Linked DNA regions of Danio rerio. The main gene of each other region encodes a partner of the protein of the gene in region 2 in a complex. Links are inferred from orthologs where the notes say so. Each region holds a gene or a part of one and is shown on either strand. Other genes may lie near its edges.

Evidence for each region. Proteins that work in one complex are often made in the same cells at the same time.
Region 1: the proteins of orc3 (region 2) and orc5 are in contact, whole or in part, in a cryo-EM structure (PDB 7JPO), measured with the Homo sapiens proteins. The link is inferred for Danio rerio from reciprocal best matches to the Homo sapiens genes ORC3 and ORC5. Residues at the interface, in NP_036513.2 of Homo sapiens: Glu99, Val109, Met144, Lys145, Leu148, His178, Ser180, Met181, Asp182, Glu223, Asp232, Ile235, Ile236, Gln239, His240, Ala253, Thr254, Ser255, Pro256, Ile257, Ile258, Ile259, Arg261, His265, Ser269, Cys272, Ile273, Glu274, Leu275, Ser280; in NP_002544.1 of Homo sapiens: Asn62, Val64, Glu65, Phe67, Thr68, Arg70, Leu71, Gln75, Tyr129, Leu270, Arg271, Ser274, Ser275, Ser276, Gln277, Leu294, His297, Thr298, His299, Val300, Glu301, Leu302, Pro303, Tyr304, Tyr305, Ser306, Asp360, Tyr367, Arg373, Pro376.

What each region holds. Positions count from the first base shown.
Region 1 is NC_133179.1:22,956,698-22,960,355, reverse strand, and holds part of orc5 (origin recognition complex subunit 5), read left to right. Parts: intron 1-521; coding exon 522-596; intron 597-779; coding exon 780-891; intron 892-1,228; coding exon 1,229-1,359; intron 1,360-1,557; coding exon 1,558-1,606; intron 1,607-3,378; coding exon 3,379-3,469; intron 3,470-3,557; coding exon 3,558-3,610; intron 3,611-3,658. UniProt on the Homo sapiens protein: Component of the origin recognition complex (ORC) that binds origins of replication. DNA-binding is ATP-dependent. The specific DNA sequences that define origins of replication have not been identified yet.
Region 2 is NC_133192.1:55,399,497-55,403,154, forward strand, and holds part of orc3 (origin recognition complex subunit 3), read right to left. Parts: intron 2,375-3,658; coding exon 2,226-2,374; intron 2,054-2,225; coding exon 1,935-2,053; intron 247-1,934; coding exon 87-246; intron 10-86; coding exon 1-9. UniProt on the Homo sapiens protein: Component of the origin recognition complex (ORC) that binds origins of replication. DNA-binding is ATP-dependent. The specific DNA sequences that define origins of replication have not been identified yet.

The sequences.
Region 1 (3,658 bases), on a different chromosome or scaffold from region 2:
GCTTATGTTTGGAGATTTGTCAGTATTTTGGTGTTATTATTAGGGCTATGCAATACACACACACACACACACACACATACTGTATACATTATGTATATATATACATAATTATCAAAATATTGCAGATGTATATATTGCAGTATACATGCCACAGTGTGCATATTATCAGTAATTATTAATAAAAATATTATCAGTTATCTAGATTTGCCATTCATAGATGTTTTGTGTTTTTATTATATATTTTTTAAACTACTGATAACATGTTTTTTTTTTATTTCAAATGATAATATTATTATCATTTGCATAATTTATTTGCAGAAAAAGACAACAGTTGAGTATAAATAATTAATATTTTTAGATCATTTTTAGTCATATTTTCGCCAACATTTGGTTAAATAAAATATATAGAATATTACATGTTGACCGCCTAAAAGGTGTCTTATTTTTTCCACACTTTTGTTTGTTTTATGCCATTGATGTTAAAGATAACATATACTGTAAGTTATTAAATGTCTCTGTAGGTTCTGGACCGAGCTGAACGCATAAGAGATATGGATTTCAGCCTGCTTCCTGCTCTTCTGCGCCTACAGGAACTGGTACACACACACACACACACACACACACACTCAATTTTGCTAATGCTTTACTATAACAGGGTTACAATCTCATCCATTTATAAAGAGGCCAATGCTTAATAAGAGCCACAAATTTTGTTAGAATAGAGTACATGTGGAAATATAATAACTTCCCATCATTGATGCATTTTCTATCTGTTGCAGGTAAATGATAATGTGACCATTATCTTACTCAGCGAAATAGTGTGGGAAAAGTTTCGTCCTAACACCGGCTGCTTTGAACCTCTGCTTTTTCATTTCCCAGATTACAGTAAAGGTGAGTGGCAGATTTTGATTATGCAATAAAGAGCTTTGTTTTTACTATATTATGTAATTGTACCACAAAATAAAAGTGTTTTATAAACATGACTAAAGATCAGATTTGTCAATTTATGTTTTATGTAACTAAGAACCTTCTACTTGAAACATCAAATTTGTGATGGGATTAAACTAGAACGGGCATTTGAGGGCTTTTGTAAAACCGTTTGTGCTTTCTCAATATAATCACAATGAGGTGAGTTTTAATACAGGTTGCAAACAAGGACAAGGACACTGTTAATATTTGGATGGGTGTTTGAAACACTCTGAAAACTTCTGTTTTCTGGTTTCCACAGTGGAGCTTGTGCAGATTCTGTCAAAGGATCATCACCCATCCTACACACCTGAGCTCTACGCCTCCTACATAAACATCTTGCTGGGGGTTTTCTTCTCGGTGTGCAGGGATCTAAGGGAGCTCAGGCACCTGGTGAGATCATCCATCCCTTTAAATTGTCTAGGTCTATAAACGGAGCAGTTGATGTGTAGCAGTTTTTATGATGTTGCAGGTAGAGAGTAAAACTTTCTCTTTTTTGCATCTTTCACTGCTTCATAAAGGACAGAATTGAGCAAGTTCTACTAAACTGCCTAATATTCTAAAATACACTCTTAATTTTTGTTTAAACAGGCTATGCTGAACTTTTCCAAGTTCTGTGAACCTTTGGAGAAAGGAGAAGGTAAACACAGCTATGCATACAGTTGAAGTCAGAATTATTACCTCCTGAATTATTAGCACCCCTGTTTATTTTTTCCCTAATTTCTGAGAGGATTTTTTCCACACATTTATAAACATAATAGTTTTAATAACTCATTTCTAATAACTGATTTATTTTATCTTTGCCATGATGACAGTAAATGATATTTTACCAGAAATTTTTCAAGATGCTAGTATTCAGCTTAAAGTTAACTTTAAAGGGTTACCTAGGCAGGTAATTAGGTAAGTAATTGTCTAATGATGGTTCTGTAAACTATCGAAAAAATATATATAGCTTAAAGGGGCTAATAATTTTGACCTTAAAATTGTTTTTTAAAAAAAGAAAAAAATATTTTATTCTAGCTGAAAAAAGCAAATAAGACTTTCTCCAGAAGAGAAAATATTATCAGACATACTGTGAAAATTCCCTTGCTTTGTTAAACATCATTTGGGAAATATTTAAAAAAGAAAAAAATCAAAGGGGGGCTAATAATTCTGGACTTTAACTGTACATTTAATAATATATTTATTTATTTTCTGACTTTCTTGACTTATTTACTTTATTTATTTAAGGGCATAGTTCAGGGGTGTCCAAACTCAGTCCTGCAGAGTTTAGCTCCAACTTGCTTCAACACCCCTGCCAGAAAGTTTTTAGGACATCTAGTAAGAGCTTTATTAGCTGCTTCAGGTTTGTTTGATTAGGGTTAGATCTAAACTCTCCAGGACACCGACCCTCTATGACCGAGTTTAAACACTGCTGGCATAGTACAAACCCAATGTTAACTCAACAACCAAAGCTTCAAAAAAATACTTGTCTGTCACAATTATGGCTGCATGATTCTGGCTAGAATGACAATGACAATTTTTTTTCTTTGCTTAAAATGAAGATCACAATTTTCTCATGATTCAGTAGATGTAAAATGAAGATTCACATCAGTAGGCTATTATTATTCTCAAACATATAGTAAAACAACACTAATAATATTAAGCCTACAGTATGTGTAACTCTACTATTGGTCAAAATGCAAACTTTTGTACAGACTTGGTATTGTGGACTTGAATAAACTTTAAATTTCTCCTGGTTATTAATGTGTAATAAAGTGATTACATCAGAATACAAGTATTCATAATTCTGAAGTTGAATTATTATGTTTGAGACATATGCTTGCAATCTGTCATTGACAACATTTTTTTTGGTAAAATTACCAGATTCCTTTAGTAGTTATACTGCTGCTGTTAAATGTTTTTCTCATGCACAACACCCTGTGTTTGATATGAAAAAAAAATCAAATGTTTGTCGTAAACATAACTCTAAAATGCGATATGATCGTTTAATTGATATGCTCTCTTTCTGTGTCACTTTAACTGCAGAGTGGTAAACGCGTAGTTCACGGTTAATTGGCTGAATCTTAAAAATGCTGGATTAAGATCGTGTTGTAGGGGGTTGAATCAAGATCACAATCTTTTTTTTTTTTTTTTTTTTTTTTTGGATTAATCGTGCAGCCCTAGTCACATTTTTATCAAAAACTGATACTCGATGGCAATATGGCACCTGGTACATATTTCTAAATGTTGCACTTGACCAAATCTAAACGCATATCATTAAAATAAGTCAAGATTTGTCCACAAATTGTCAGTACTGAACCAGGGCGTTGTTTGTTTCACAGTCAAAAGAACACGAGAAACTGAAAACAACAGCATTATCGAAGTAGGCAATAATCATCTTGTAATCATCTTATTTTTTGTTTTTTTCAGCCAAAGAGAGTGATATCCACAAGTTATGGAAGAACATCGAGCCCCATCTGCATAGAGCCATGCAGACAGTTTACCTCCGAGAGGTGTCCAGGTCTGTGCAGTTCATGTATGGTGTTTGAGGTTGAGTTTGTGTGTCATCAGGCACTGAATGTTTGTGTTTTTGGGTTTTCTGCTATTAGTGTACAGTGGGAGCAGCAGCAGATGGACGAGAAGGAGGCCACAGCTCTCAGAGGTACACACACACAATCACACACTCTGCATGTTCAGACAGGACAGCAGA
Region 2 (3,658 bases):
CAGAATTAACTGTGAAGGAAAACAAATAATTAATCCCAAAGAAGAGTTTGGATTAATGTAAAAACCTCTTGACCTGAATAACAAACCTTGTCAAAAACAGAGGCTAAATGCTGAGTGCAGGAGACAGACTGAAAGACCTCAATGCAGAGCAGAGATGACACAGAGTGGGGAAGCCTGTGCTGAATGGCACTGGGAGATGTGGCAATGCCGAAAACAAAGATGAACGGAAGCTCCTGGATATATCGGCTGTTAATGAAGCAAAGGGATAAAAGATTCTCAGATCATTAACATATACAATTTATTTTTATTCCATTTAAGACAAGGGTCACCAATCACGGCTCCCTGCAGAGTTTAGCTCCAACTTGTCTCAACACACATTTTAAGTATACCTACACTGTAAAAAAAAAAAAACTGTAATATTACAGTTTACGGTATAAAAAAACACGTAAAATAATGGATATTAAATTACAGAAATTTACAGTAAAATAATGAGTATTAAATTACAGAAATTTACAGTAAAATAATGAATATTAAATTACAGAATTTTACCGTTAAATAACGGATATTACAGAAATTTACCGTAAAATAATGGATATTAAATTACAGAAATTTACCGTAAAATAACAGATATTAAATTACAGAAATTTACCGTAAAATAACAGATATTAAATTACAGAAATTTACCGTAAAATAACGGATATTAAATTACAGAAATTTACCGTAAAATAACAGATATTAAATTACAGAAATTTACCGTAAAATAACAGATAATAAATTACGGAAATTTACCGTAAAATAACAAATATTAAATTACGGAAATTTACCGTAAAATAACAGATATTAAATTATGGAAATTTACAGTAAAATAACAGATAATAAATTACGGAAATTTACCGTAAAATGACAGATATTAAATTACAGAAATTTACTGTAAAATAACAGATATTAAATTACAGAAATTTACCGTAAAATAACAGATATTAAATTATAGAAATTTACCGTAAAATAACAGATATTAAATTATAGAAATTTACCATAAAATAACAGATATTCAATTACAGAAATTTACCGTAAAATAACAGATATTAAATTACAGAAATTTACTGTAAAATAACAGATATTAAATTACAGAAATTTACTGTAAAATAACAGATATTAAATTACAGAAATTTACTGTAAAATAACAGATATTAAATTACAGAAATTTACTGTAAAATAACAGATATTAAATTACAGAAATTTACTGTAAAATAACAGATATTCAATTATAGAAATTTACCGTAAAATAACAGATATTCAATTACAGAAATTTACTGTAAAATAACAGATATTAAATTACAGAAATTTACTGTAAAATAACAGATATTAAATTACAGAAATTTACTGTAAAATAACAGATATTAAATTACAGAAATTTACTGTAAAATAACAGATATTCAATTACAGAAATTTACTGTAAAATAACAGATATTAAATTATAGAAATTTACCGTAAAATAACAGATATTAAATTATAGAAATTTACTGTAAAATAACAGATATTCAATTACAGAAATTTACTGTAAAATAACAGATATTCAATTACAGAAATTTACTGTAAAATAACAGATATTAAATTACAGAAATTTACTGTAAAATAACAGATATTAAATTACAGAAATTTACCGTAAAATAACAGATATTAAATTACAGAAATTTACCGTAAAATAACAGATATTCAATTACAGAAATTTACTGTAAAATTACAGATATTAAATTACAGAAATTTACCGTAAAATAACAGATATTAAATTAAGGAAATTTACCGTAAAATAACAGATATTAAATTAAGGAAATTTACCGTAAAATAACAGATATTAAATTACAGAAATTTATCTGAATTGGGTCACATTTAACTGGCAGTGTAAACGGGGCCTTTGACTAGGCAAATCTCACCTGCAGATGTGGATAAAATCCTGTAAGACTTGTGAGTTGAACGCCTCAAAGTCTTTGAAGATCACAACAACAGGCAAACTCTGACGCAAGCCATTGTCATTTTTTTTCTGAGAGCATTTCTGCAAAAGACCAAGTGATAATGATTATTGACAGATGCTCAGCACACCGAAATAAACTAATCAAATGCACAACACACTCTCAATTACTTAACAGAAGCATTTAGACTACTCTATCAGACGTAAATACATGTTATTGCAGTTAAGCATAGTTTATTTTCTAGTCTTCTCTTACCTTGGTAGCAGTCTTATACCACTGACACAGAGCACTAATGGTACACTGAGCCTTTTGAGGCAAAGCTGCATCCTCCTCCTGTTCTTCATCCACTGACACTGCTTTTCCCATCAGCTGCTCTAGAACCTTCTGAATCAAGTGCTTCACAGCTGTTTACAAAAGCATCATGCATAAAGCGGCAAGATTAATATTAAATGTAGTAGAATAATTTCTTGTAAATGCAAATCCTCATTTTGAGCACTGCTAAGTGGATTCTAGAATGCTGCTGCACGTTTTCTCGATACAAATATTTGCATTTTTGCAGCACGTCTTTAAATTACATCAATACCTGGACAGTTTCACACATCACCGCTAGTTAATGCCACTCACTCAATCAGTGCAGTCATTATTTTGAATATTGGTAGTAGCAGCACCATGACTCACATACACATTACCATTTTCACGTTTGTTTGACAGCTTTACACTTACGTCCCATTCACACGGGGTGTCAGCATCAACGCTTCCCATTCACTTTTAATGCGTGACGACAGGCAGGGGCGCCTGCAGGATTTCATTCCAAGGTACGCACAAATCCAGCACCGCCCGCCCCCTTCCGATGGCTGTTCAGTATTCAAACATTAAATAACGAATGCATCAAGTAAAATAAAAACTAATATTTTTTATAATTTAGCAAAATTCTGCTCTTTTTATCTTTGCATTTTTATTATTTTATTTTTGTTAGCTTTAATATTTTATTGTCTTCATAATTAAAGCTATAGACAAAATCCTGCTTGACATTTTAGAAAATATTTTGCGTAGCTACCCAGTATGTATTAAAGATCACTGAGAAGAAAAAAAACACAGAAACATGTTACATGCCAACCTTAAATGTCCAAACTATATTTAACTGAATTGTAAGATTTTTTTTTTAATTGATCATTTTATTTTTATAAAACATTTTATTAATATATTTGAGTAAAAACTAAACCGACATTTAAGAATCCATATTTATTTTATTTATTCATTAATTTGACCTGTTTATTGGTGCATATATAGGCTATAATTTAACTTATACAACAGTACCTTGGACGGCTACAGTGCCACTAAAGCTTTCAAACACAACCCCAACAAAGTAATGAAAGATTAGACTTTCTCCGGTGACGGCCGACGTCTCAACATGCCGTAACCGTCCTTCGAGTGTTATAGCCAGCATTAAATCACAAAACAAGCCGTCTGGCTTGACTGAAGTGCAGTTATTTCCTTGATGTAGCATGCAAGTTTGCACACACAGATGATTGAATATTATTCAGATGATGTCATTACGTTGCTGTGCCGTCAGCCAATCGTTGCATTGCTGATCATGAGGATTGATAGATCTGTCCTTCCCAACACACGCAAAGATCTCAGATTGGCTTATCCAGACATTTCAATCTGATTCGCAAACTTGTTTGAAG